4 linked regions of the Caenorhabditis elegans genome follow. The protein of the gene in region 2 interacts with the protein of the main gene of each other region in a pairwise test. Each region holds a gene or a part of one and is shown on either strand. Other genes may lie near its edges. The genes, in order: atrn-1, gst-23, zig-12 and dim-1.

What was found.
Region 1: the proteins of gst-23 (region 2) and atrn-1 interact in a two-hybrid assay, tested with the Caenorhabditis elegans proteins (one large-scale study listed by BioGRID).
Region 3: the proteins of gst-23 (region 2) and zig-12 interact in a two-hybrid assay, tested with the Caenorhabditis elegans proteins (one large-scale study listed by BioGRID).
Region 4: the proteins of gst-23 (region 2) and dim-1 interact in a two-hybrid assay, tested with the Caenorhabditis elegans proteins (one large-scale study listed by BioGRID).

The regions. Positions count from the first base shown.
Region 1 is NC_003284.9:14,709,022-14,719,081, forward strand, and holds atrn-1 (CUB domain-containing protein), read left to right. Parts: upstream 1-2,557; 5' UTR 2,558-2,572; coding exon 2,573-2,686; intron 2,687-3,277; coding exon 3,278-3,390; intron 3,391-3,456; coding exon 3,457-3,544; intron 3,545-3,592; coding exon 3,593-3,705; intron 3,706-3,752; coding exon 3,753-3,866; intron 3,867-3,928; coding exon 3,929-4,373; intron 4,374-4,422; coding exon 4,423-4,681; intron 4,682-4,730; coding exon 4,731-4,816; intron 4,817-5,161; coding exon 5,162-5,405; intron 5,406-5,457; coding exon 5,458-5,601; intron 5,602-5,648; coding exon 5,649-5,832; intron 5,833-5,887; coding exon 5,888-6,011; intron 6,012-6,057; coding exon 6,058-6,217; intron 6,218-6,884; coding exon 6,885-7,172; intron 7,173-7,224; coding exon 7,225-7,398; intron 7,399-7,450; coding exon 7,451-7,615; intron 7,616-7,670; coding exon 7,671-7,814; intron 7,815-7,858; coding exon 7,859-7,956; intron 7,957-8,010; coding exon 8,011-8,226; intron 8,227-8,276; and 11 more.
Region 2 is NC_003283.11:3,240,273-3,246,129, reverse strand, and holds gst-23 (Glutathione S-transferase), read right to left. Parts: upstream 2,847-5,857; 5' UTR 2,836-2,846; coding exon 2,701-2,835; intron 2,659-2,700; coding exon 2,571-2,658; intron 2,094-2,570; coding exon 1,690-2,093; 3' UTR 1,628-1,689; downstream 1-1,627. Other genes in the region: srj-7 (Serpentine Receptor, class J), read right to left, coding at 95-190, 276-377, 426-542, 588-675, 725-891, 936-1,127; srj-11 (Serpentine Receptor, class J), read right to left, coding at 3,494-3,760, 3,815-4,003, 4,054-4,258, 4,310-4,416, 4,458-4,706; str-16 (Seven TM Receptor), read right to left, coding at 5,694-5,740, 5,782-5,857.
Region 3 is NC_003284.9:8,760,539-8,767,583, forward strand, and holds zig-12 (Ig-like domain-containing protein), read left to right. Parts: upstream 1-3,368; 5' UTR 3,369-3,370; coding exon 3,371-3,436; intron 3,437-3,482; coding exon 3,483-3,617; intron 3,618-4,398; coding exon 4,399-4,489; intron 4,490-4,536; coding exon 4,537-4,649; intron 4,650-4,794; exon of another isoform or gene 4,795-4,940; intron 4,941-5,323; coding exon 5,324-5,512; 3' UTR 5,513-5,742; downstream 5,743-7,045. Other genes in the region: M02D8.5 (CUB_2 domain-containing protein), read right to left, coding at 1-79, 136-252, 887-1,014.
Region 4 is NC_003284.9:8,054,197-8,061,241, reverse strand, and holds the start of dim-1 (Disorganized muscle protein 1), read left to right. Parts: upstream 1-3,021; 5' UTR 3,022-3,029; coding exon 3,030-3,074; intron 3,075-3,357; coding exon 3,358-3,415; intron 3,416-3,462; coding exon 3,463-3,540; intron 3,541-3,611; coding exon 3,612-3,665; intron 3,666-3,712; coding exon 3,713-4,248; intron 4,249-4,875; coding exon 4,876-5,050; intron 5,051-6,533; exon of another isoform or gene 6,534-6,669; intron 6,670-7,045. Other genes in the region: C18A11.3 (DUF4309 domain-containing protein), read right to left, coding at 20-111.

The sequences.
Region 1 (10,060 bases), on a different chromosome or scaffold from region 2:
AGAATGTTGTGCTTAGTTACTAAAACTTTTGAATTTTGAAATTTAAATGTAGGATTCCCGAGTTTTTCAAAATTTGGTGTGTTAGGCGGGATTCGAAATGTCTATAAGACTGATTTATTCCAAAAAATATAGTTAATCATTTTTGGCTATGGAGAGAAGCAGCCTGTGAAAACAGGAAAAAATTGTATTTTTTTTTTGTAAACAACCACCTATATTTTCAAAATTTTAAAACATAAAACACAATTCGAATTTCAAAAGAAAAGTTTCAAAAAATATATATGCTTTAAAAAAATGAAAATATCTTAGCCACGGTTTTAGCCACACAATTTCCAAAGTTAACTGTAAAAAAATTATTTTTGTCAATTTTACAAGTGAATCATTTCTATTCAAACATTGTAAATGTTCCAACGTGCAGCAATTTCCTTAACTTTACAAAAAAAAACCAGCAAAAAAGTTGACTGCATTATGTTTCATATTGTCTCCAATTGATCTATTTTGTAAGTTCATATCTCTGTAAGTCTTGATCAAAGTATCTGATCTTTAACTACGTTATATAATAGACACTGTCATTGAAATATGCCAAATTTAAGATATTCCATATCAATTGACTGTAAAAATTGCAAAATATCCTATAAAAAGTAAAAGACAAAAAAGGTAAAAAAAAAAGTGAAACAATTTTTGAACTTCCTGGTGCGTCATTTAAAAGGAAATTTCGAATGATAAGAAATTGAGATATTTCTTCTCATTCCTTCTCCCCCGATCAATGTTCTATCACTTCATATTCCATCCAAATTTACAAATGCAATTGCGGAAAGAAAGTAGAAAAGTAGGAACTTTGAGAGAGATGAATAACCTTGAGAACTAGATTACATGCGTTGCAAAACGTAAGATCATTGAGAAACTAAGAATTAACGCTGATTTTTCTGTTCTTTCTGTTCCGTTTCCACCCAAAAAAAGCCGCCTGTTTGCTTACTATGCTCATAGTTTGAATCGAAAAACGACTGCCAAAACTTGATTTCCGCTCTTTCGAACATTTTTTGAACAGACTATTTGCAGAGGCATTGTGCAGAAATAGCGGAAGCTATTTCAGTTTGTGTTAAGTTTGGAGGGACCTCGAAATGTTTCCTTGTAGCAATACTGTTTTGGTCAGTGCCAGCAGCTTTTTTTTTGGAATGCCTTACAATAATTTTGCATTTTAACAGGGCGTTTCTCGATTAGGTATCAACTGATAAAATTCAATACAACATCATTTTCACATTAATATTTAGCTATTGATTTTAAAAACGCCCTCAATAAAGAATTTTTTGGGTGATAGTGGTGGTTTTTACTTTGTAAGAATAGTGATAATACAAACATTTTTCGGTCTGCTAATTTCAGATTTTTTAGTCTATAGATGAAATACTTTTTACGAAACGAAAAAATAAATAAAACAAAATTGGATTGTTTTTTAAAAATGCTCGGAAACATTACACCAGTATCTTTTTTCAAAACATGGGTTTTAAAAAAGGTTATTATTTTTACTTCTTTCCAGTTTTTTTTTGAATGCCTAATTCATTCTCAAAATCACAAAAAAAATTACCTGCCTACTTCTTTAAAATTATAATTTCGAACACTCCATTTACATATAAATTGACAATGTTTCTTGGTCACTTTCCAAAATATTTTTCGATATTTTTATTTTATTTCTAATGCCTTGTTTTCATTGGTTGATAATAACTATAATATACCATGTTTTTTCTAGAAAAAAAATCACAGTTACAAAACAGGACGCAAAATGTGAGCGAAAAGTATTGTCAGATTTCAAACACTTTAGTATTAAATTATTTTTCACTCCAATTTTTTCCCAATGTGAAAATTATAAGTTTGTGATACTACTGAAATACTGACACGTAGAAAAAAACAAGCCGTTACTTATTTCAGTGACTGATTAAAATTATAGTTGCTAACCATAAATCTTTTTTGATTTTAATCATTTTTGGGGACTCAGTTGCTCTCCACTATTTTCCCGGTTATTTTCAATGAATAATTTCATAAATGGTTTGAATTTATTTTCACATTGACCAAAGCTATGTACTTTGATTTAATTTAAAAAAAAAAGAAATTTACAGCTTCTTAGAATGTGACGATCAAAAACCACCCGCCTCACACCCAACATTTGTGACCTATTAAAAGCTGAAGAAACTGCGTTGGTTAAAAAAAAAGAACCGCTCGAATTAAACCAAAAGCGAAGACACACTGACTCATTTCGCGAACGTTTAAAAGCAAATTGGTGTTGTCTACCTAGTTTACCCACCTAACGTCGCTTCTCTCTGCGTTCTCTTCTTGCGGCACACTCCTTCTCCGCATCTCTTCGCGCAAGCGTACTATCGATCGATTCATTCTGTTCGCAGTGCCTCTTTTCATTCATTATTGTCGTCATCATCATCGCCTTTTTCTTCCTCTACGACGACGTGTCTTCTTCCAAATTAGTCATGCTTATAGTGTTGTTCCTTTTTCTCTACTGCGACAATTTTTGCTTATTTTCGACAAGTTTATTCTAATGAAACCTTTTTTACAGACCGATGTGCACGTGATGATTTCAGCAAGGGAAGTATTCCCATGCTTTATATTTCGAGTTTTCCTCCTTTTTCAAGTATTCTCCCGAGTTCACACACTAACAAATCATGCAAATTTTGAATTCGAAAAGGTAGGTTGAAACTTTAAAAAAAATGCGGAGTAGTTAATTTTCTTGACTCAAAATTGACAAAAAAGACTGAATTTCATCGTGAATCTATTTGAAATTCCTCAAAAACAATTATCAACTTCTCCGTGTTGCAATGACCAGAAATGTTTTTGTTTCTATTTCGCATACTTTTGCAGGGTTTATAACCATTTTTTGTGAATTTCGGTACATTTTTAATCAATATTTACACAAAAGTAATCAAATATGTATGTAAATGTATCGCCTAAAAACGTACTTCATGCACTAAATAAACATCTGAAAAGTGTCCAACAAAATATAAATTACGGCCGCAGCTTCAGTTAACTTCAAAAATGATAAAAAATTTTTTGAAAAAATCAAGAAAAATCATTACAAAATTTGGTCTTTTTGAGCCATTTTCTGACTTTGAAAGAGCAATTGGAAAAATTTGAAGCCTTTCAAAATTCGAAAAACTAGTGGTGTTGATTTTGTTTATTATCAAAAAAATGTTGATAACATTTTCCAAAATATTCCCTCAGGGACTTTTAGCGATAACATCTCAAAGCTTAACAAATTCCCACAACCAAAAATTTTCAGTCATTATCATCATGCGATAAACCATGTTACAACGGCGTCTGCTTGAACAAGGCCTGTGTTTGTTCGAAAGGATGGTACGGTTCACAGTGCGATCACTGTTTTGGGCGGATACGGTGAGCAACATTTAAGCTTTATTTCAAACAAAAAACGAAAGAAAAAAAAACGTTGAATTTCTTTAGAATATCTGACAACGCGAGCTACATTTCGGATGGACCTCTGGATTATAGCCCTTCAGCAAAATGCACATGGCTCATTGAACCGGAAAATGTATGTGTTGATGATAGATTGATGTTCTATAACATTTAAATTTTGCAGAGCGCTACTCCACTCAAAATTCGGATAAACAGCTTTTTCACCGAGTGCGGCTGGGATTATTTGTATATTTACGATGGTGATAGTGTTTATGGAAAGCAGCTTGCCGCACTATGGTTGGTTTTGAAATTTTAAAATTTTATGTGAAAATGAAATATTTCAGCGGAGAACAACCATCACAAGAGTTCACTGCGGCTTCTGGTAAAGCACTGGTGCACTTTTTCAGTGACTTAGCCATTAATTTAAACGGGTTCAATGTTTCATACGAGTCAAATCGGTGAGTTTTCGACATATTTATTGAAGTTGAGATTGTTGAAGTTTTTAAACGTGAATTTGCAGCTGTGCGTATAACTGTTCAAACCATGGAAGCTGCCTGAATGGAAAGTGTGATTGCGAAGATGGATACAAAGGTCTCAACTGTGAGTATCAAGTCTGCCAACTCAGCGGAAAATCCACGGAAAGTCCGTGTCATGAAGGTCAATGTGTTGATGGAAGATGTGAATGTCTCTCGGCAAGGGTTCATGGAGAAACCTGTCAAATGCCAGTGTCTTCATCGGTGTGGGACCTGATTCACCCGACTAACAATGCACCAACCGGAAAAGCTTCCCACGCGTCAATCGCTATCGATGATGTTGTTTGGAGCATCGGTGGAGAGTTTTTCGATGGAAGCTCTGATCCGAATAACATTGACGTGTACAACGTGACAAGTCGGATTTGGAGTAAGGTGGAGGTGTCCGGAGATATGCCGAAACCTCGCTTTGATCACACAGTTGTCAAGTATAAGGTTTGTACATTCTATTTCGAGACTTCTCTACCAATTTTTTTGAATTCAGAACAAGCTGTACATGTTCGGAGGAGTTACAAAAACCCAAGTCCGTCACCAAACGACACAAGCCGCAACAAACGAGCTTTGGATCTTTGACATGGGCTCTAAAAAATGGGCTCAACAGATTCACAAGAATGAGACAATTATTGCTGCGCCATTCGCAGTTGCAGGTCACTCAGCTCATGTGATTAGATCCGAGATGTTTGTGATATTTGGCTATAACCCACTGTTTGGCTTTATGCATCACGTGCAGATTTATAATTTTGGTAAGGAAACAAAAAAAGAAGTCGGAAAAAACAAAAAAAATGCTTTCAGAAACCGAAGAATGGACGGTGGCCAACACAAGCGATCATGTTTACGGAAGGTTTAAACATTCCGCAGTGGAATACACAACACCAACAGTAAGTTTTTTAGAGTCCTACTAATTTGAGTTAATTAACTGAGTTTGGTTTTAAAAAATGCGATGTCGTAGTGACGTCATTGAAGGTATTTAAAAACAGGGTTAGATGTTTTTTTTTTGATTTTTAACAATTGTGAACCCCCAATATTTTTGCCAAAACTGACAGCCGATACCTCGCTAGTGCTACACATATTTTAACAAATTTTGATGACAGCATAATGTCGGCTGCTTGTTGAATTATTACTAGACGTAAGACAGTTTTACGAGGATAACTTAGATTTTGTACATAATTCAAAACTTTTAGTAAAACAATTCCAATACCATTCGGAAAATCATTTCATTTCAGGGAGCCACTGCAATTCTGGTTTATGGTGGTAGCATGTGGAACAACACCATCACCGACAGCTTGATGCAATTTGACACATCTACCAAGAAATGGTCGAATCTTCCACAGTCTGGAGTTCAACTATATCTTCATGCTGCTGCATACCTTAATGGCTTGATGGTAGTCGTTGGAGGTCGAGGATCGAATGTGACGGCGGGAAGTAAAAGCGAATGCTTTTCAAATATGGTGCAATCCTATGACGTTGGTGAGTCAATTGAGTGATGCAATTTTTAAGCCGTCTACTTTTAATTTTTCAGCTTGTAAGCAATGGTCCAACATGTCAACTGCTCCAGTGGATTTGAAAAGATTTGGCCATTCTGTTCATGTTATCGGCCAGAAGCTTTATGCTCTTGGTGGTTTCAACGGAAAAATGAAGAGCGACGTTTGGACATTGAGTCCAGGTACTTTTAACTTAAAGCAACTCAAGTGTTCAAGTTTATTATTTTAGCAAAATGCTCATCAGCTACAAGACCTGATGAATGTCGTCTAATCACCGATGGCACAAAATGCGTTTTCGTCGACAGTTCCTGCGTTCCATTTGACCCAACAGTCTCCTACAAATCATCGTTCGCCTCAATGATTAAATCATCGACACCTAAATCTTTTGATGAATGCACAAATACACCATTAAGGTAAAAATTGAAAAAAAAAACATCGAATTTCAACTTGCAAGCTTTACATTTTCAGACTCGCTCTGAAAACGTGTGAAGAGCAAACGGATTGTGTCTCTTGCGCCTCTAAATCCGGATGCGGATGGTGCTCCTCAGGAGAGCAATGTCTTCCAAATGAGCAAGAGTGTGTGGATGGACCGGTGAGAAAAATTTTCGGTTGACTAGTAAATTATGCGATCGTTTCAGGGCATGCTAACATCCTGGGAGAAGTGCCCGCAAAGAAATAGTGTTGCAACAATGCGTCCATGCAATATGGAGAACAACTGTGGTAGCTGTAGAATCTCACCACACTGCACTTGGTACCCAATTGATAAAGCATCGCCTTGTGTGAGCAAGGAGGATTTGAGTATGTTTTTTGTATGATATACACGAGGAATAAACTAGAGAACTGAGAGCTTACAAAATGAGGCCAAGCACAATTTTATGAAAACTTTATATATACTTTGATAAAAACCGGAGAAACATTTTTGAGAAAAGTTTGACAGAACGAACATGTTTCTATGTATTATATAGTGCATGAAATAATCACCTGCCAGAAACAAGTGAGTTTTACACTCAAAATAAAAAAAACTGCAAGGCGTGTACTGCAGAAAACCTAATATTTAGGCCCCGCCTTTTTTCTTGTCCACTCACGGAGAAAAGGCAAAAATCGGGATCCCAACCAATATCAGGCCGCCGACATGTCACGGGTTCCGCGCGCCGCTGCGTTTAACTCGCTGTGGGCGTGGCGAGCTGTCTCCGCCCGCTGCGAGTTAAACATAGCGGCGTGCGGAACCCGTGAGATGTCGGCGGCCTGATATTGGTTGGGTTCAGATTTTTGCCTTCCACTCCCGTGAGTGGACGAGAAAAAGTACACGCCACACAATGTTTTTATTTTGAGTTTTTTTTTTTGAATTAACTAAAAAACACTGTTTAATTTGGTATTTTTCAATAAATAGGACAGTTATTGATTTGAAAAAAAACCGCCCAACACTTGGAATCACAAACTTTTAACAATTCAATTTTATTTTCAGTTGCCGTCGTCTACGAATATGAGACCAAGTCAGTTCTTGCTGATCGCAACAAGTTTCTCTCACCTTCGCATTTCCCATCTTTCTTCCGTAACGCTACCGAATGCCCAATGCCTTGTGCTCAGCGGAACAACTGCAGCGATTGCACCGATCTTGAGCAGTGCATGTGGTGTCCGAGCACGAATAGATGCATCAACTTGGAAGCATACACGCTGTCATTCGCTTATGGACAATGCCACTCGTGGGTTACATCTGGCTCAGGAAGTGTTATCAATCGAGTTTGTCAAGCTGGTGAGTAACCTCTTTGAAGCGTTTGCATTCCGATTTTTATTCGGCGTTTCAGAGTCAGTTGTTTGCGAAGAGCACAAGACTTGCGGAGAATGCCAGAGAGATCCAGGATGTGGATGGCTTGCAGACGACTCCAAGACTGGTCTCGGACTTTGCATCCGTGGTACATCAACTGGCCCGTTAGAGCCAAAACCAGAAAACAGTACCTGGTATTTTATAGACTGCCCTGGTAAGTTTTGATAACATTGGTTAATTGATTTCATTAAAACCCAACTTTTCAGCGTGCCAATGCAACGGACACTCTACGTGCTTCACTTCTGTTGGTTCCTTCCCTCCGGTCACAATTGAAAAATGCCAAAGTTGTCAAAACCACACCACCGGTGCTCACTGTGAGCGATGTGCTCCAGGTTTTTACGGCGACGCCAGAAACGGAGGAGTTTGTTCACGTAAGAACATTGAATCAAAATTTCAACAATGATCAATTATAATTATTATTTCTAGCATGCGATTGCCATCATCAAGCTGATATGTGTGACCCAGTGTCTGGCCAATGCTTCTGCAAAACTAAAGGAGTCACTGGAGACCGCTGTGATAAATGTGAAGCGAAATATGTGGGCAATCCGAGAAATGGAACACCATGTTTCTGTAAGTTGTTTTATGGTTTAATGAAATTCAAGTTCAAATTTCAGATGAGCTAGCCGTAGACTTCATATTCACCTTCAAGTTGAGAAGCGACGATAAGGATAATCACACGAGTGAAATTTACCTATACAGTGTTCCATATAAGGTACATCTTAACTTGTCATGTTTATTTGATAAATTATAATTTTGTTCTTTTCAGAAAGACACTGACGTCACATTCCAAATCAGCTGTGAATCTCCAAAGGGTAACGCACTTGTTGCTTTGAACATGACCTCGTCTTATGTGAACGGGCTCGCGGATAAGTCTCAAGCCATGATGGTGGATACAATTTGTGACTCGAAAGGATTCCGACGTGTCTATGTGGCATCAGATAAGGGATATCCATTTGGTCCAGATTCGAACACTACCTTTTTCGTAAGTTAATTGCAATACCATTAAGAAGTTTACACATTTATGTTGTTCAGGTTCGAGTATACAACTTCAACACGCCAGTTCAAATTGTTGTCAGTTTTGCACAATCACCGCCGATCAACTGGGTCCTGTTTTTCGTGATATTTGCAGCGTAAGCTTTGAAAACTATTTTAAATGGTTTCCTAGAAAACGAAATTCCAGATGCTTCATTGTCCTTCTAGTCGTTGCCGGTCTGCTGTGGATGATCAAAGTTAGGATAGAAGCTTATCGCAGGAATCAGCGGCGGATAGATGAAATTGAGCATGTAAGCTTTTACAAAAAAATGAAAACTGAAAAAAATAGAAGTTTTTTTTGGAACCCATTTCTCAACTATGTTCAAGTTAGTAATAATATTATCAAAATATTAAAAGTATCACATCAAATTTGAATCCAGCCAATCCCGAGTAAGAATCCCTCTCAAGTTCGCATGCCGAAAATTGGCTCGAATTGAGAGATGAAAAATTCGGGAGATGCTGGAATCAAATAATACTCCGTCCACTTTTGCCGGACAACGCAAAAATGAAAAGAGTGGGTAATACCTAGGGGCCGACAACCCACGGCTTCCGCGTCTCGGTATATAGTTATAAATATCATTAGCATGCCCCGCCCATTCAGTTGGTGTGTATTTAGAAGGGCGTGGCATGCTAGCGTTACTTATAACAAGACGCGGAAGCCGTGGGTTGTCGGCCGCCAGGTATCACCCACTCTTTTCAACTTTTGCGTTGTCCGGCAAAAGTAGATGGTGTCTTATTTGATTCCAGCATCTCCCGAATTTTTCATCTCTCGATTCGAGCCAATTTTTAGCATGCGACATTGGGAGGAAATCTTTCGCGGGGTTGTCTGGATTCAAATTTGACGTGACACGTTTAATATTTTTTTGTAATATGTCAACAAGATTTTGAACTGTTTTTACTTAACTTTTTCATATTCCAGATGGCATCCCGTCCTTTTGCATCGACAAAAATGGAGCTCAGCATGCTAAGCCAATTCTCATCGGCCGGAGGTCCAACACCTCTATCCATCGAACCGTGTAGCAACTACCGTGCCGGAGTCTTCACCCTGGCCGTACGCCTCCCCACCGGAGGCAAAGCAGTAACACCTAGTGGAACATCTGGATTAGCAGTTGCTTCATCGTTGTGCCTTCTCACTCCCCAACAGGTCGGTGTGCTCCAAGCACAAGACAACGGGGAGAGCAATAGTGGGCGGAAAAGTAATTTCCGAAATTTGTTAAGGTTGACGATACGACAACGTCCCAACAATAATGATTAAGTGTTTCAAATTTCTTATTTTTAAGTTTTTGTTTATGAATCCACTCACTTTCCATGCCCTAACCTCATTTTCCCTGTTTTTTTGTCATTTTCCATTTTTTCTTGTGTATTTTTTTCTCTCATTCACTTTCAAACTGTCGATCAATCAAATACTTGCATATGAAAATTACGAGTTGTCATTTTTAACACTTTGTATTTTATAAGAAACAGATCAATAAATATTTTTCCTAATGCTCTATCTTTTTGGAAATTGAGATAAAGAAGTGGGATTATTTCATGGAGCTTGTATTGATTTAGCTGCGCTTTTACTTAAGTCGGAACAGTAACAAACGCAGATTTAGGGGTGGGCGGCAATTGCCGTTTGGTAAATTGATTTGTCGACAAATTCGACAAGTTGGCCAATGGGTTGCCGGTTTGCCGATTTGCCGGAAATTTTCATTTTCCGTAAAATGCCGATATGCCGTTTGCCGGATATCAGATTTCCCGAAAATGTTTAGAGGAATTTTCTATAAGACAAAAACACTTAAAAC
Region 2 (5,857 bases):
TTTATCAGGTTTGTTTTTCGTTTTTTTAAATTTTGGTCTGATCAATAATATAACCGAATTAAGCACAGAAACATGTAAATCTTACAAGAATTACCTGTACAACCAAAGTCACAAAAAGCTGCCTCTGAAGTCGTAAACTAGTTGCACTCAACGTTCGATTAATAGTCATGCACCGAATTTTGTGAATTATCTGAAATACTTTTTTTACTTTGGGCTTTACTTATGCTTAATCTCAGGCTTAAGCTTATGCTGAGGCTTAGACTTCGCAAACTTACTTTATACCCAAGAACAAAATAAACCGCCATTGAGTACCATGAAATAATAGTAAGAAGAATGATTCCAAGCCAGCTGCGAAATTGGATACCTGGACGGACACCCTAAAAAGGAAATTTAAATTTCTGAGTTTAATCTAGTTTTAGACATACCCAATAGAGAGCTGCCAACATTGGAACTCCATTGGACTCTTCTCCGTACTGATCTATGAACGACGAGCGCACTATTTTCCTAACTTCGTCGTCGGCCGCAAGGCAATTCTGGCAGATCTGAAGCAATTACATTTAATTATTTTATTTTCTGGAAGCTTTCACCATAGTCCAAGAGCCAGCGTGAAACAACATGAGCAATGTTAAAAATAGTATACCAATCGGCCGGAAGAACAGATGAAGCTTGTGCGGGCTGAAATAGCCACTGTTCAAATATTTTCAGGCCTAAATAGTTGACTCACTAAAACAAGGCCATGTACCGATAGACAAAATGGATGATCAATAAGGCATAACTGATGGAAATGAACCCACACCGATTCGACATTGCGTGCTGACCAAGTTCTGGATATTCAAAGAACAAGCCGTCTGATATAAAAACCACAAATCCATGCTTGTTGCCTTGTACACCCTAGACAAATTCATTAAAATATATTCACACCTACGGTAAATTACCAATGGAGTTAAAATCTCGGATATTGAATACAGAATGTCAAAGACCGAGAACATTATCAAAAGATTCTTGTAGCTCCCCACTTGAGTTTTAGTTTTGGTCACTACCAAATATATGAATATTGGGTTCACCAGGAAGCTTAGTGCTCCCAAAATTTTGGGAACATTTTGATGGTACCAGTTCATATATATCATAGTTGTATTGAAAAATAATGGGATCTTCTCGATGAAGAGATGTAGAAGTGTTTTCCCCTCTTGTTTTTCTTATAAATGCCGAGTTCTCGTAAAATAGTATACTCCTTTGGGGTTGGGGCACTATGTGTTTTGTGACTTGAATATTTGTCTGCTATGGTAACTCCGTTTTTGCAAAGGAACACACTGAAAAGGGTCGAAAAAGTCCTCCATGTGTGATAGCGTCATTGAGCAGACTTGAGGTGGGTGTTATCTGTATTCTCCAGGGTCTGATTCATAAACAGCACCTGTATTAATTTTCAAACAACGTTTTACTCCTACTACATTGGTTTTTCGTGTCAGGACCCAATGTTTTATATGCAGTAGGTTATCGTGAAACCTATAGACTTTGATAAGTTAATTCAAAAAACTTTAAAAAAATTTAATTTTTAAGTACTCGAAATTTTGATAGCTCATTTTTTGAAAATGGTTTCACAGTTGAGTTTTGCTTTTTGAAACAATAGTTATTTGAAACAAGTTTTATTAGTATTGCAAAATTAATTTAACACAAAAAAATCCGAAAGTTTTATTGTTTCCCATTTCCACTGACGAATGGATTTAGTTCGGCCCGTTTATTCAAATACAGTCTCATATTGGGCCGCTCTGCAAATCGTCCATGAAATCTTTTCAGTGCTGGGGTGCCATTTAGAGCAGTTGGTGTGAGGATGAGGTGAATATCGAGAAGCTCGAATAGAGCATAATCTGCATAGCTCAGCTTGTCCCCGGACACAAAGTTTTCGCCGTTGTTAAATGTGCAGAACAACTTCTCAATTCGTAGTAGCTCCCCGGGAAGAGTTTCAGTTATGTATGCTTCTTTGCCATCTTCGTAGTCTGTCTTGATCATTGTGAAATATTTGGTGCGTAGATCGCGGAGCCCTTCGGAGAACATATCGATGAATGAGGTCTCTGATTCAGTGGAGCCATTGAGTCCTGAGAAATTTTAGATGTTGTTTTTTTTTCTTTTTGTATTGAATTTTAAATAAGATTTGCAAAATGTTAACTCAACAGCCGGGAAAACAATTGTTAATATATTTTTCGTTATTTTCTCCAACTGATATTTTGAGATCAAAAAAAAATTGTAATCAAAAACGCATTAAGTCAGCCTAGAAGAGCTAACTATAAAGCCAAAAGTTTAAAACAATTTATTGACTAATTTGACGACGTTTAGAATTGCTCCAAAAGACTACTTTTAGATAATTTTTATACGATTTCGGATGTATACATTCTGCAAGTTTTTTTGAAAATTTTTATTTTGAGAAAATCAAAAAAATTTTCACTCAAAAAAAACGATTTTTTCAAAACAAAACATTTATCAAAACAATTAATAAGCAATTTGACAGGCTTTTTCTTTTTCATCAATTCGAATGAATTTTTTATTTCAAAACTGTAAATTTTCTGATTGCTCACCATAAATCCGTCCAAGATGACGAAGAATCGCTGCTGACTGGACAATCGTTTCAGTTCCGATATGAAGACACGGCAATTGAGCGAAAATCTGGAAAATTCTACTTTTATAGTTTCAAAAATTATGAATCACCATGGTTGACTTCATTTCGGCCCACTCTTCTCGGCTGATACGGTTATCTTCAAATGGGATTTCCTGGTCATTGAGCAAGAGCCGAATGGGCTCCGCGAGCCCACGAATGTCAAAGTATGTGAGCTTGAGTGTCATCGAAGTGGTCTATAAATTAGAAAAACCAAATTAGAAAAACGTAAATTTTATGATTCCGGTAAATTTGAAAAAATAAAACTTTTGAGAATTTGGGAAAACATAAATGCAAAAATATTATAATAGAGGGCAACTATACGAATTCATACATGTGTTGTTGTATTTTCGGCAATAAAAACCGAAAATATAATCGGGTTAGGGGTGTGACGCGATTGTGAACTGTAAATTAGTAAGGTTTATGTGTTGATTTTAAATTTCTATACGGTTTTTTCCTGTAATTGATCAAAAATAATCCCATCGACAAGAATTCTCCAAACTTGACAAAATAATTTTCTAGAACTATCATCCCAACTCAAACTTAACGACATTGTTATAAAAGTGCTAAGTTGTTCAAAAAGTTACAGTACTAAATTGAGAATAATTTGTTTTTAAAAACCAAAAAAAAACGAAGAAAGTGTAAGCTGTCTGCAAACTTGGTAAGAAAAGAGGGACACGTTGAAAATGTCCGCAGGCTATTGAAAAAATCTATAAAGCAAACATGTATTTCGAGAAATGCAAATAAAACTCTTTCACATTGATTAAAAAAGAACGTTGCGAAAAATATTTATGGAAAAAAATAAGAAATTTTATAACAACTTGGACAACACTTTTCCTCAAACTTTCAATAAACTTGAGCTGAATTATCCACGTTGGGTCGGACAGTCGATGTTCCAGAATAAAAGTATTTGATTGGCATTTTCACAGTGCGAAAAAGCTTGTTCCGGTAGTTGGGTAGGAGGAAAATGATAGCAAGTGGATCTAGAACAGGGAACGCTGACAGTGCAATGACGCCCAAATAATTGTTCCACATTCCGAGATCCAATCCGATTACAGGACCGTACCAGGCCATCATGCAAGGGGAGAAGCTGATGCAGATCGGGATGAAAGTCTGAAAATGTTTAGTTAAACAATTTTTTTCTGAACTCTTTAAAAACATGTATACCTGAACTGCAAGGGCTTTGAATAACTGTCTATGCAATTTCTGAGTCGTTGCAGAAACCCCTGGATTATCCGCCAGCTTTTTCATAATCTTCCATCCAAGAATAACGTATAGAGAAATTGCATATATCGAAATTCCAGTCAGCAGCAGAATTCCAATCCAGCTTCTTCTTTTGATCTCGGGACTTGCATCCTAAAATTTTAAGGGGTTAGTGTTGGTTCTTTGCTCTTTTCGAGCCTCACGAAAAACAATGCCATTAGCATGGATAAATCATGTGAATCCACATGGTAATCTTTTTGAAAAGCGTCATAGATGTAGTCGAACACTTCTTGATCTCCATAGAGACACATCTCGCAGACAGAACTCCAAGCTATTCCGTGAAAAACAAAAAATACAAAGAGACCAAATAGCCCGGACGGCCGGAGAAGTCGATCGATTATTCGGGTGCTATAATTTTTAAATTTTCGGATTTACGTGAAAAATAAAAATAAAACTCACTTAAATAGCACAAGATACCGATAGATAAAGTGAATGACAAGGATTCCATATGAAAGAGAAATACACCCACATCGAATTGAGACAGCTAGTTGGCCAAGCTTCCCAGTCTGAAGTTCAATCATTTGGTGTGTAGAGCTTTCAAACTCACCCCAAAAAATGGTCCGTCAGCTAGGTAAATCACAAAAGCTGCCCCAGTACCATGAATTGCTACGGGAACGATTAGCTCTACAGTTGAGTAAGCCATATCAAAAATTGCAAACCCTATCAAAAGATATCGATACTTCCCGATCGAAGCCTTCTTTTCGGTGGCTATCAAGCAAATGAAAATTGGATTACACACGAATGACAAAATTCCAAACAATTTTGGAAGGTAATGGTGAGACCAGTGGATATACATAGTCCGTCTGAATTTCTTTCTGAAATTGTGAATATTCAGATTGTGTTAATAATTTATAAAGCAGATTGTATCTGAATCAGAAAAAGTGTGAAGGAATACTAATTGTATTTGTTTTCGAGCCCTACGCAGATATGCAATAGGATTAACAATCATTTAGGTAATGTGCTCGGGACTTAGATTGGTTCAAAAAGTCTAAATGAGTAATAATGTAGGATTGGTAAAACGCTTGGAAGACCAGAATCAAGATGAAAATACAAAAAAGCCTAATGAGTCAACCTGCTGATGTGTTTGTCGTGAGAGCAAAAGTATCGTACTTATTTAACTTTTTAAAAGTTTCCCCAATATGGTTACTTTTTTTTACAATACTCGGGCTTCAAAATTTTAATTCAAACAAGTTTGGAATTTTCGATAGGCCGACAGGCAAACTAGTAGGCAGGCTCAGGTACACATAGACCTGCTTGCCGCCAAATTGTCTGAAAATTTGAAATTATTTCTGGGCTCACCAGCGCCCGGCACTTCATGGGTTCAGCTAGGCCCGACATTACTTGGGTTAGGCAATACCCGACATTTTCTAGGTTCCGCAGCACCCGACATCTTCTGGGTTTTGTATTGCTAACTTGTTTATGGAATTTTTTGCAGACGGCCGGAGACAGGCATGAGTTTCTTCAAAGGTAGGCCTACCAATACTGGCGCAGACATCGATGTACGAACCTCAAACTTTCCTTTTCTGCCAAAACGCTGTGCTGAGAAATCATTCTTGTGGGACGTCATTAGAACAAAATTTTTCAAACAGCAGTTCGGAAAACATTCTGATTTTCTTACAAATAAGTTTATTAAAAACTACAAGTAAATTTTAGAAGCGTGAAATCTTTCGGCACAAAATAGTTCAGAAATCTCTGTTTTACTTTTTTCTGACTACATCTACAAATGATTCAGAGCACATTCCACATCACGTAACAAAACTGCAATCTTTTGTTTTTGAACGAATTATTGCTGTGACGACGCTCCGGATGGTTTGTAGATTTGGAACGCAGCTGAAAATATTTTCTAGACAAATTTTTCCATTTTCACTCACTTTTGAACGCTCGCCGATAGTCTGTGACGACGTACATCAGGATGAATGCATCAAGCGCTGGATACAATGTGAATCC
Region 3 (7,045 bases), on a different chromosome or scaffold from region 2:
CACCATCGCAATATCAGCAGATCCCGGAACTCGTAAGATTTTCGGAACAAGCCCGTGATCCATAGCGTCTCCACATAAACTGTTGTTCAAAAGATTCCATTATTTTTTTACAAGGAAACACATGTCGGAACATACCTCGAACAGCCGTCATTATTAGTAGGACAAGCTATAACGCAATCGTGTGCACTTGCAAGAAACTGCTCGAAAACAACTGCAACTCCCTGAGTTTCGTTTACAGAGACACTTCGCCGTCTGGAATTGAAAAGAGTAAAACATCAGCGGAACGTTATTTTACGTTTTTCTATTCAAATATAAGCATTCACCAAAAATGGTTTAAACAAACGTGACATTCGAAATTACATTTTGCCTACGCTCACTGTTACAAAAGTATTTCCCACGTTGTCAGTTTTTCAACCATAAACAAATTTTTAGTCCGAGGACATAATCCACAAGTACCGATACTTTTTTATACGTTTTTGAAATATGACCTCTCAAGTTCATTTCGTTCGATGAAAACCATCCGGATCCCCAGGGTTTTGAATTACAAGTTCAGAGAAAATTGTTGTAGACCGTTTTGTTATTCCCCCTGTGAAAAATGTGCTTTGCACTTTACCAACAATCACTCATCAATAACCTAATCACTGGCATCGAACGTGACAAAGTCTCTCCGCAGGAATGTATTTTCAATCGAGACTGCACACCACTATTATCACAAAACGAATAGCTGCTGACTAGAGAAACGGATATCAGTTCCGAAAAATATCTCATCAATTTATGATAATTGATGGACTTTCGCAAAAATGTTTGGTCTATCAAGTTCATGTGGCGGAGGTAGAGGTGTTTTTTGTGTAACTAAGTAATAAGATCTTGTGTTGAAAATACTTACTCTGATAATTGTCCAGTGTATGGTTGTGGAAAATTAGGTGTGGAAAACAAGATACCATCTTGAAAAGCAACTGAGGTCCGGAAAAAAATGATGAAAAATAAAGGAATCAAATTTAGTTTTGTATACATTTGTGTTGCCAGCCAACCACGAACAGTTAAAAAATGACAGTACTGATAGGAAAACCGCACATCGTGTTGATTGAAAATGTTTCTATGCTCACAAACTTTTAACGATTTTTCTCTTTGTTACATTGTTATATTTACTGATGTTTTTTTTTGAATAAGAATTATATTTTTAATTGAATTGTTTAAATTGAATTTTTTGCTCACATTGAAGATAACAAACAATACTTAAATTTCGAAGTTTATTTGAAATTCCATCATTAATTTTTATGATTTTCTGCTTCAGATCTCAAATTCGATGTAGTTTAACGTTGAAACAAAAAATGAAGGATGAGAAAGTGTAAGCCATTAGAAATCCAGATGTCTCAGACGAGTGCGTCATCCAATTATTTTCCAATGGTACCTTTGAAGTGTTGAAGATATGGGAAAAATGAGATCGGCTTCTACCCAGTGACTGGAAGCAACTTAAACAAAGTGCAATCTACAAAATTTCGATCTGAAATTGAAGAAAGAAAAATAAAGCAAACCACAACAAAGTGATTCTTTTCTCTATCTTTTGTATCTCTTGCTCCTACAAAATATTTTTCATGCGAAAATATTTGAATTACACACTTGAAAAATAATTTGAGAAAGGTATTCCCTGACGTACCGAAGTTTCAAATTACACACACTCTCGGCATCTTTATACAATATCACTCTTACTCTTTGAACTCTCTGAAACATAATATTTGATCTTTTGATACATGATTTTCAGATTGAATGTGGAGTTCCACTGCTGAATTACAATATGGAAAACTTACAAGGTGTTGGATAGAAAAAAGTAAGAATGAAAACAGTTTGGTTCATATAAGTTTATTATAAAATAATTTGTTTTTAACTGAAAAATTGTCAGCTTATGTTTTTACCATTTTTGGGATTCATCTCATTTTGAGACCTAGAAAGGCAATATATTTTAATTTTTAACGCGACTGGGGCATTTAAGTGTCCTATATCGTTTTCCACATTGCTCTATTCGGCCAAGTCTGGTAGCTTATTCTCTGGTTTCTTTCTAAATAGGAAATTATGCAGCTTATTGTAAGATGAGGCCAATCAACTAAATTGTTCTTTGACCCAATGCTAAACCTACATAGTTGAATTGCAATGTGGTCATAAAGAACCGCGAAGAATTGACATTATGAACGTACAATGCAGATATCATCAATGAAACCATGCACAATGCGCACGCCGCGATTTGCAAAAATGTGCACATCATGATCGTCCTATTGTGACAGGTCTATAAATCCATTGCTTTCGAGTTGCTCAGTTTCAAAGTGGCATTTTCATTTAACAACTTTTGAAATCCTTAATACTCATACAACAACCAGCGACGTCATTTCCATCCGTTCCCAAATTGCTCATTGATTCCGATTTCAAAATACTCTCAAATATCCTTTGTGAAGCGTGTCTCGTCAACTTTGCCTTCGCCCTGCAGCTCTTCATTGAGAACTTTGTAAAAATTTTGGGATCTTCAACGTCGACGAGAAATGAAGAGTTAGGTGGGAAGTGCCATCCCATCCACCTTTCTCCTCCTCCGCAAAATCTGTGGGCAGCTCCGGGGGGCTCCCGGGACATTCATCTTTCCCATCTTTTTTCGTCGTTTCGTTCTCCGACTAGCGACCAGGAGGCGGAGAAAGAGCTTAGCAGCAGAAGAAGTAGAAATTACAACACCTTCGTGAAACAGAGAAAAAGATAAAGGGAAAATGGGACTCTAACAGCGACCTCTTGGCACTTTTGTCAGTTGGAAACTACAAGCGAGACATCATTTTTCTCCTCTTCATATTTTTTGTTCTCCTCTCAAATTTGTTTTTTTTAAATTTATTCTTGAGTGCTGATCTCAATGCACAAAAAACATGACTAAAATCAACTGTTATATGTACAAAAAACCAGTGATTCAATTTTCGAAGCATTTTTCAACCTTCAACCATTGGTCTTTTTGCCTTTTTCTTTTTTTTCTCAGCATTATAAAGTGTTTTCCCTCAAAATACTGTTGACACATCTTGTCTAGATCTTCTCCAACATTCCCCTACTTGTGCTTGTTCATTGAGAACATAAAACATTGTTTGCTTAGTTCTCCCACCCAAAAGCCACTACGAACTACCGTTCAAGAAGTCTTTCGTCTCCTATTTTCCTGTGAACTCAATGGATAAATGATGGTAAAAACACATTGGCAGATCATTTTTCATTCGCTCTTGGCGGCGCTCTTACCTGATCAGAAAACACGCCCCTCTTTTCTTTTAGTGTGTAAAACTTTAGGTTACCGAGATTCCGTATATTCATGGCTTCGTATTCAATCATAAAACTACAGATTTTAATTTTTTCAGATATGGCACCACCATCAATTTACGGAGAACCAAAAATTAGATCAGAGAACGGGTCGGTGTTCCTTGAGGTACGAATTTGCTTTTCCTTTTGAAAATTGCTAAGTTTTCTTCCAGGTCATCGTCACTGGAGCTGATGTTTCTAAGATTCAGTGGTTTTTCGGACCAGACGAGCTTGAGGAGAACGAGTTCCTGAAGTTCTCAAACAGTGACGAAGGAGGCAACCGCACCAAGTTTGTTGCCGAAATCAAGGTCAGTTTGAGAGCAACTGTTTGCCAAAGCATCTCGTATAAATCACATAAAACGACTCACGAGTCATTTTATGGTCCCATTGCTGCGATGCGCTCTGCAACTGTTGTCTGTATGTGTTTTGATCTGCGTTTAATTGGTTTTTGATGGACTTACCGTAGATTTTGGGCAAAAGTGCGGCAAAAGCAGAATTAGCTGTCGGTCGGGAGGTGAAAAGCAAAACATAACAACGGTTAAGCATTTGATCAAAAGGAAACTCTAAGTACATTCATCATTACAAAATACTTTTTACTTTACTATATTCTTTATTTTTTTCGTATCTCACATTAAATATACATCAATAACGTGAACTGTAATTTTGAAAATTCAGTAAACATTAAAAAAAGCCGTGCAGTTTGAACTTCACATTAGGAACTATAATTGTAAAAGTTACTAATGATAGTAGTAGTTGAAAAACAAACCACATAAGCTACATTACTGGTAAAACGGAAAAGCAACTGAAAAACTGTCCAACGGTCCAAAATGCCGCAGACTGAAAAAAAAAACTGATGTCCGCCGGTGGTCTGTCTCCATGTCAGCCAATAAGCCGATTGTCGACCGCCCCGGTCGCAAATTTCGTTTTTCTAAGCTTAAAAAAAAACTCCGAACACAAAAACGATTTTATCAGCTGCCATTGGGCCGCTTCTGAGCAATCCCGCTTTACCTGTGATAAAAAATAATCGGAATTATGAATTTTAACTGTTAACAAAACACCTTTTTGCTTCTTTAAATCATCATTTTATAGGACTTTGATAAACCACTTGCCGGAGAATACAAAGCCGTCTTTGCCAACGCCGATGGAGAGAACAGCTCTAACTTCACAGTCGCAGCAGGAAGTGAGCTCATTATCAAAAACACTAAAAGCTTACACATACAATTTCAGACGCCCCAGACTTCCATGACAAGCCACATATTGTTCAAAGAGATAACGGAAATGTGATTGTGATTAAGGTCCGCGCAAAGTCCCACCTTGAGATGAAGGCCGAATGGTTCAAGGTATGTCTGTCACCTTACTTTGAATCTTAGGGGAAAAAATTTCCCTGAATTCTTATTCGGTATTTTTCTTGGCATTGCTAAATTCATTTTGGTTGAACCAGAATAGAGCTTCTCGAAGATGGATCGACTGACTGACGTGTCTTTTTTCTTTTGTCTTCTTTCTTCCACCGAAGAAAAAAATGTAGTTGTCCTAATTTCCACATTTATGTTAGTCGAAGTGAACCTCTCCGGCTTTCTCAAGGGGATTCAAAATAGAAAGGCAGAGATGGGTAATGTAAAGAAGTGTGGAAATAAGACAAAAGTTGGGAGGCCTCCTCGTCCGCGCCTTTGGGTTGTGCCGAGACAGATACTTGAGGCTCATGGAGCAGATAGAGCGAAGTTTTGAGTAGTGAACAAAAAAGAGAAATGGCGCAAAAAACTAAAAGCAAAAAGGTTCAATAAACATTAAAAGAATTCACTTGTTGTCTGGTTCAAAATGTAAAATGAAAAATGAAAAATGAACATTTCAATGGGCATGCTTGGAACCAAGTTTGAGTTTTTTTGGAATGCTTTGATAAATAAAATTAACAAACTTGTTTTGGAAAAAATTTTCTGAACGACCGTCTAGTATAAATCATTTTTAAATTAACAGAAAAAAAGTAAATTTCATATTTTTCACTAATTCATTCTTCCAGGATGAAAAACCAGTGAAATTCACTGACCGAGTTAAGGCTGTTGTAAAGAAGGACGATAAGGACAAAGACGGATTCCAATTCCTACTCGAAATCACCGGACCACAAAAAGACGATGAAGCAAAATACAAGTGCGTTGTCAAGAACTCCGAAGGACAAAACCAACAAGCGTTGAACTTGGTTTTCGATTAATTTTATAAATTTTCCCTTGGTTTTTAATTGTCATACAATTCAATTCATAAAGCCTCAAATCAATTTTCATGTTAATCGTTGCTTCTGATTTTCGATTTTGGTAGTTGCACTTTCCGCTTTTTTTTCTTCTGTAACTTTTAACGTTTTGTAGTATTTGTCTTCTCAAAGTAATTTGAACTTTGTGTCCCATGCACATGAATTGGTATCAGCCAAAATAAAAAAGTTTCTTGACACATTGAACATGAGAAGATATACTTGCAAGTACAGAAATCAATATATATATATACAGTGCTGGCCAAAAAGATATCCACTTTCAGTTTTTTGACGATTTCGATATTTTTTCCAATGGGCATAACTTCAAAACTAGGAAAGGTACCAAAAAATTTTCAACTGGTAAAATGTAGCTCGTGATCAGGCCTATGTATTTTTACATGTTGCAATTATTCATCCATCACATGGCAAGTAATAAAGCGGCGGGCATCTCGTGAGTCCGTTTTTGACGATGATTACTAAAACGACTGTAACTCAAGAAACATATTTTTAATGAAAGGTTTGAGAAAGTAACAAAATGTTTATTTAATTTTTCATTGTTTGAACATATCAACTTTGTCCTAAAACCTCCATTTAAAAAAATGTGTGCGCTGAAACTAGTGTCTCATTAGACACTGTTTAGAGGCTTTGTTCAAAAATCAGGTTTCTTGGATTGAAAATCTTTTTCCGACAATTTTTGTGAAGAACTGATGTTGTTATTATATTTGAACTACATATTAACCAATAAACAGAATTCAGAAAAAAAAATCTACTATTTTTGAGACATGAGCTCGAGATTACTCTACACTTCTCTTCTTTAAACTCTCTTGTCTTTTTCAATGGAGGTTTCAGGACGAAGTTAGTATGTTCAAACAATAAAAAATTATATAAACATCGTGTTACTTTCTAAAAACCTTCCATTAAAAATATGTTTCTCGAGTTACAGTCGTTTTAGTAATCATCATCAAAAGCGGACTCACGAGATGTCGGCCGCTTTATCACTTGCCATGTTTTGGGTGAATAATTTAATCATGTAAAAATACATAGGCCTGATCACGAGCTACATTTTACCAGTTGAAACTTTTTTTGATAGCTTTCCTAGTTTTGGAGTTATGCTCAATGGAAAAAATATCGAAATCATCAAAAAACAGAAAGTGGATATCTTTTTGGCCAGCACTGTATATACGTGTCTTTGCTGTAATTCAGTGATGCAGATAGTAGATAGTGCTTTATCATTTTAGTTTTTCAACAATTTTTGTAAACTCTAGTGTTTATCTAACAAAATAAAACCATAGAACAAAATAATATTGAAAATCATCCAACGGGCAAAAGTTTACCTAGTCCAATTTAGACTACTTCAGTTGAAACAACATTTTTGCTATCACTTTGAGAATGCCGCTTTTGAATCTGCAATCTACGTGTGCAAATTTTAATATCTAATTTTATATCAAGTTGAAAACAATCTAATAAGACATAACCCCGAAAATCAAAAAAAAATTGGTA
Region 4 (7,045 bases), on a different chromosome or scaffold from region 2:
AATTTTTTAAACAACTTACTTCTTGCCAAAATCTGCGCCTTCTACTAACTCGATATCGTCATCGTCTTCGAACTCGTCCGCAAATCTTGGTAGTGAGCCGCTTTTGCTCATCTGCAAACAAAAATAATAACTAAACTATATAATTTAAATTCATATTTTGTGTAAACCGGAAAAAGGAAAGGTTTTATCACACTGAAAATGGCAATAATTGCTCCACACGATACGTGGAGGGTAATAAATGTTAAAGATTTATCAGTGGCGGTTTCGTATGCAATGTGTAACTTTTGGAATGAAAGTCATAAATTTCAAGATTCAAGAGAGAGCTGGTATAAAATTTTTTAATACAACAGGAACAATCCGTATCATTTGTGTTTGTTGATGTTATTAAACAAAGTTCCGCATTATTATGGCAAAAATTGATAAAAAATGTTTGTGCACATCAACATTAAAAAAGGTTACTAATGTTTCCACATGAAGAGTCTCTGGAAAAATGAACAAGTTGTAATTTCACCGTAAAAGTAGTTCTGGAAGAACATGTTTGAAGAAAACCAAAAATTGACAATACCAAATAACATTCTATGTATGCAGGGTTGTCTGAAATAATTATTTTATATTAATTTCAAAGGAACACTATATGATAATATCTGGAATAGGGGAAGCAATTAACATAGTCATAATAAAACATAGTTAAACAATTCCTACAAATTTAATAGTCTAATTATGTTTAAAATACTCATATTCAAACATTACAGTGATTTGAGCATTCTGCAGTGCTATAATTTTGTTTTCAATAAGCTGCAAAAATGCAGTAATTGCAACATTTGATTGTCAACAAAAAACTATTCAAAACTTTCAAATAAGTGTTACTATGATATTTAATCATTTTTGCACCATAAAAATGTTTTTTTAAGCAATTTACCCTATGGCGCTACTCCACTATTAAAATCAGTTGGTGTTTCTGGATGAATGTATTTATAACTTTTATCGGCTGCTTTTTCCGATTATGTCTTCGGCTGCACTCAGTTTGTTATTACGAGCCATCTGTGCTCAAGGTCGATAAGGTCAACTTTCTCGAAAATACGTTTCCCCTGTCCTCATTGACATCTTTCCCCCTCTCGTGTCTCCTACTTTTCACCCTTTCACCAAATATCGATCAAGTCGATTTTCAACGGGTTCTCCAGGCAGGTGGCTAGTACGTACAGTTTAGAATTGAATAGTGATGTCGTTTCGTCTCGTAGTGTTGAACTCTGGCGTTGTCTAATTCTCTTCTCCGCAACGCATCTCTAGCTTGCACGGCGACGGTCACCCACGATGCTGGGTCGCAAAAGACCTCTGGTCACCCTTCCCGTTACCGCCGATGGTGATCTAATAGTTATCGAAAAAATGAAAGTATTGGATTTTTAGGTATTGTTGCTAGCACAACTGTATTTGTCGATATTGTTGTTTTTTAATTCTCAATTGGGAGCAACAAAATTTTTTACAAAGTATACTCATGTTTCAATATCGGTTCTTGAGTGATTGGTGATAATTAAATCTCATTTAGAAATTCTGATTGAATTTTTTTCCGGTATGTGATTTTTTATTAATATCCTGAAAAATCGGCGAACTTATGTTCAAATAATATAGTTTTTAGTTTAATGTCCCGGCATACTTGTTTGTTAGTTTACGTTTACCATCCAACCTTTAAGCACCTTTTCTAAGGTTTTTCTTACCCGGCGATGGTCACCCACGATGCCGGTCACCAAAGATGCCAGGTAGCAAAGGATCCCTAGTCACCCTTCCCGTTACCGTCGACGGTAATCTCATAGTTATCGAAAAATGAAAGTATTGGATGTTTTGCATGCTGGCTACCCAACTGTACTTGTCGATATATTCTAAAAGTTGTTTTCTCATTGTAATTTGAATGCAACCGATTTTATTACGACCGATTCCAATCCTTTAAATTTTTTTGAAAACTTTTAATGTCTTGTTTTATTAGAATTAGTATTTTTATTTCATTTCAAAATAAAAGCTGTTGAACATTTTTCAACATCACTATCTAATTTTCAAATTACAAGGACCGGCAAGTAAGTTAAATTTTTTTCAAATTTTGGTTAATAGCTAAGTAGCATTAAAAGTTTTAAATCGAAAATGTTTTCAGTTGTTGATAATGTTTGATTTATCTGAAAACTTTACTTTAATGCACAGAAGTAGTGTTCCCATTTGCGAATTCAAATACTCCAAGTAGTTCGAATGTTATAGCTTATTTGTTTATCAGTTTATGTTTAATCCCAATTCATCAAACACATTTTTGTGCGTTTTTTTTTACACGGCGACGGTCGCCCACGATGTCGGTCATCCTCGATGCCGGTCACCCACAATTCCAGGTTGCAAAAGACCCCTAGTCACCCTTCCCGTTACCGCCGACAATGATCTCATAGTTATCGAAAAGAAAGAAAATATCGGATTTTAGGCCTAACACCACATGTGTACACGCCGATATCATTTAGTTTTTTTGTGGTCAGTTTTATCACGAAGGTGCTTCAAAAATTGATCAATTCATAATTATGATAACCTTCAATTTATGACTTTTATGAAATTAGTTGGTTTTGATTACAGAGATGAGAAAATGGTTTTTCAATGAAAGTTCTCACTTAACAATATACATTCTAAAACTATGCCAATTGTTCAAACCAAAACAAAATTGCAAGTCAGTTAAACTTGACTTTAATTATTGACAACAATTAGGTAGATTTCAAAAAGCCAAATCAAATTATTGTTTCATTATTTCAATGGTTAAAAAAACTCGCCTTAAAAGTTTTGTTTTGTCTGAAAACCACAAAGTCATCTGTTCCCGTTTACCTACAATACTTACTTACTTACTAAACTTTTCATTCACTTTTTGTTTATTTAACTTTTTGTGTATCAGTTTTTGTTTACTTTCCGTCCATCAAGCTTTTTTTTCCTCACTCATCCTTTATTTCAATTCTCGTCCTTTTTTCTATAATTAACAACACAAATCTTAATTTTTTCAGTTTAACTCCATAAGAATGGCATCGTTAGCACCATTCTTTAAAATTTCCGACTCCATCTTGGTAAGTGTCAAAACTTTTGTAAAATTTCAACGTTTCGATGCAATATTTGCTATTCTAATAACTTGGTGTTTTCACTTAACACAAGTCTTTACACTTTTAATAAGAACCGATAATCACAGTGAGATGTGCAGTGTTACCACTTATTGAGTAGTATCCTTGTGCAAACACCCCCACGACATATTGCGTACATTCCCGATTCAGAAATTTCTGGCTTATAAGGAAGCAATAACTCTAATTAATTTTAAAAAAAAAGAATAAAACGCTAAATATTATATATACTCAGGCTGATGAAAGTTTCGACGATCTGGAAATCAATAATCATTTTAAATGCACTAGCAAAGGTAAGTAAAGTGTTTTTGTCAATTATCTTATAATTTTTCAACTTCAGATCTAAATGAATACCCAAGAACTTCAACCCCATTGCCTGGAGAGATAACATCAATTTACAGCTTACCCAGATCATATAGTAGGTGTTAATGGATACGATTTGTATTTTTTTAAAGACAAAATTCAAATATGATAAAATTAACTTTTCAGATAATCAAAACCTTTGTACAAGAAGTAAACCAACAACATTCATTTCACAAAATCGTATGTTCGATTACGTTAAAAAATGTTTCTATTATTCATTTTTTCAGAACAAAAAGGAATGACGGAAAAACCGAAGCATTCTGAATATTTTTTAAGACTGATGAAAACACGCCAAGAAATGCAGAAAAAATTAACTGCGAAAAATGGTTCAAACAAAAGTGTGCAGCAATATTTGAGAAAGTTACCGCCCAGTACGAGCAAAGAAGTGACGATAATACCAGTGAAAATGAAACCTGATGACAATTCAGTTTATATTTCTAAAGAATTAAGTGACAGGACTGACACAAAACTACCGAAAGTTTCAACAAAAGAGGTAGAAAAATTTGGAGAGCAGTCAGATGATGAAGAGAGGCATGAGAGGTCTCATATCGCATCGGATTTTAATCAGAAGACCCCGCAATCAACGCATGCAACGAGTAACCATAGGAAGAGAATTTTCATAGGGAGGACAGGTGCTAAGCAACAGCATGTTAGTAAAAAAGCCACAGAGAGTGAATTACCTTATAATATCGACGTGTCAACCTCCAACACGACAAATGCAACCGAGGCTCTCAAACTGTTAAAAAGGCCACTTCTGTTACCAGTGAGTTTTAAAACTTACAAATTTAACTAACAGTTAGTTTAGTGACATAAAAATTAATAAAAGTTAGTGAAAAAGTAAAACATGACCGACTTTCTATGAATTTCAAACATAATATTTCCAACTAAAACCAAGAAGAACCAATAAACTGTAAAATAAAATAAAATGTAAAGTTTTTACTAAACATAACGATTTAACAAAAAAATAAAAATAAAACTTCAGTTGTTATATGTTTTCAAGATAATTTTTGAAAGAGTTCTTATTGTTGGAAAATTATTAGTAACTTTCCTTATAGAGAACATTTCATATTTAAAAACCAATAAAACATTCAAATCGTCACTGAAACATAAATTGGCAAAAAAGTAGGCAATTTCTATTTGAATTAACACCCATCAGCCAGTTTTTTTTTCAAATTTTTTCACCGTGTTTTACACAGCTTTGCATGAAATTTTTAAAGCTAAAATGTATAATCTTGTATTTTCTCAACAGTTTCTCTTAAACAGATCATGTTTCATATCAAAGTTTTACACAGCAAAAACTGCAAAAAATGAAAACATGAAAACGTACAAAAGTGTTCAAAACTATTCCAAAATATTAATTTCCCAAAAAATAATGGCTTGTAATTTTCAGAGTAAGGATCCACGATCGTCAAAAATGCCCCGTTTAGATCTCAATCAACATCAATTCCGCTGCAAACAGTACATAGTCCATTCACAATTTACATGTACTCAAATTGAGAAAACATTTAAGTGCAGAGTTGGAACATCGACAGAGAGTGAAGACCTTGATGATTACTATTTTGATGGTGAGTACTTATTTGTTCTTGTGTCAGTTATCAATAAGCGAAGAAATAAACAAAAACAGTATTGGAAATTAAATCGAATGGTCTGCACACTGTGTCAACCACAGCGCCTCCATGATCTTAGAAACAAACAAATGAGCAAGAGATTACCGTGCGCTCTTTTCCCGACAAACATAGAAATATAGTACTTGATAGAAAAGAAATAGGGAAAAGAGGAGGGCAAAAAGCAACAAGTTGTGAAGAATAGTCAACAATATTGGTCGGGAGGGAGGTTTCTGCTTGTACGTATATATTTATTGAAGTGACGCCGACTGACGACGCAGGATTTGCTTTCATACAATTTTTTTTGGGGGGAAACACGATAAAAATGTCCCGTCGTTTTTATGCATCAATGCATCATTCTTCGGAAGTTACTATTATACATACAATCACTTTCTTAGGGTTTTTTTCTTTATTTTCCAGTGAATGCTCAAATTGTATATTTTCTAGTATGATTTTAATAGAAGAAAGTTTTCATTGAAAATAAGACAAATAGATAGGTCAAATAATATATAATAAATTGAGTGGTATAGCATTCTATTTTTTCGAATCAAAAACTCAAATCTTAAACGAATAATTTTTTCCATCCAAACTGAGCTACGATTTTGACACTTTCTGAATATTTTCAAAAATTTACAAGCCTAGTCGTATATTTTGAAATTAAATAATTAAACCTTGAGAGGTTGGCAATTTTAACATTTCCGAATTTTGACATTGCCGAACATCTCTGCAATGAATGTTTGGGGGTTCTATGTATTCTTGTCGTAACTATTTGTTTTCTTTGCACTCGTTCGCTTTGACCAGACCACTTTTCTTTTATGCTATGAACTCATTACGCAGAGATCTCGCACAACAATTTGTTACTTGCACTGTTCATCTTGTCCTTTTTACTCTTTTTTCCTTCCGTTTACTTTTTCATATTGCACACAATGAGACTGTGCTGATGGCTGCTTCAAAATTTCTGGGACTGTGCTTCACATTCTTGTGTACTCTTTCGCTCACCACCAGTTTTTTGCACTGTTCTCTAGAGTGAAAAAGGAAAATTGAACAGTTACATTGTGTTCGGTTTCAGTCAATTTTTTTGTTGTACAATTAGCGTCGCTAGAAAAAGTGTTTTTTTTGCTACTCTACTGTTCTTGTCTCATGCTATTTTGTAGAGTTTAAATTTATTTTTAAAAAATGAATGTCAATTAAAATGTGAGAACTGGTAGAATCAAATATATACGTTTCATTTCTCGCGTAAAAAATTAAGAAAGTAGTCTTCTAACCTTCCATCTAGGCTATAAATCTCATTTATCTCTAGTTCCACTTGGCCACCAACTCCTCCGCAAGCAAATGATGATGATAGGGACCATTCGTAAAAGCCGCAGAAGCCCGAACAGTCAACTCGAACAGTTGTGGGGTCTTAGCGTGTGTGTTAGCAGGGAAATTTCTTTTTCCAAAGCGTATGAGGAGGTCCCGCTCGGTCGGTTAAATGAGCAAATATCTTCGCGACATATGCCAACGCGATTCGTATTACGTTTATCTGCTCGTCTAACACGAAGGCGAAATTGATGAAACGTGGGTGGGAAATGGAAACTAAGGAGAACTTCGGGGGGACGTGTGAAGCCGATAATGATGAGATCATACACTATTTGTCGTCTGCATATTGATCTATGTAGGACATGTACTCAACGATTTTATCTATTTCTCGGAACTTTTTTTTTTTAATTTTGAAGTGTTTTTGCGAAATTGTTTGTCTCTGCCGATTATTTTGAGAACAAATCGGCGTAGTTGTAAGAAAGATATAAATCAACCTGGTAAGAATTCTACCAATAACTAAAACTATTTAACTTCATCATGTACATTTCATTTGCCAAACAAAATTCTTTAAGCTATTTGCTCAATTTTCTTTTTTCATATCCCGCTTTTTATGATATCATCAATGTTCATTCAAAAAAAATCACACAACCACTCAAA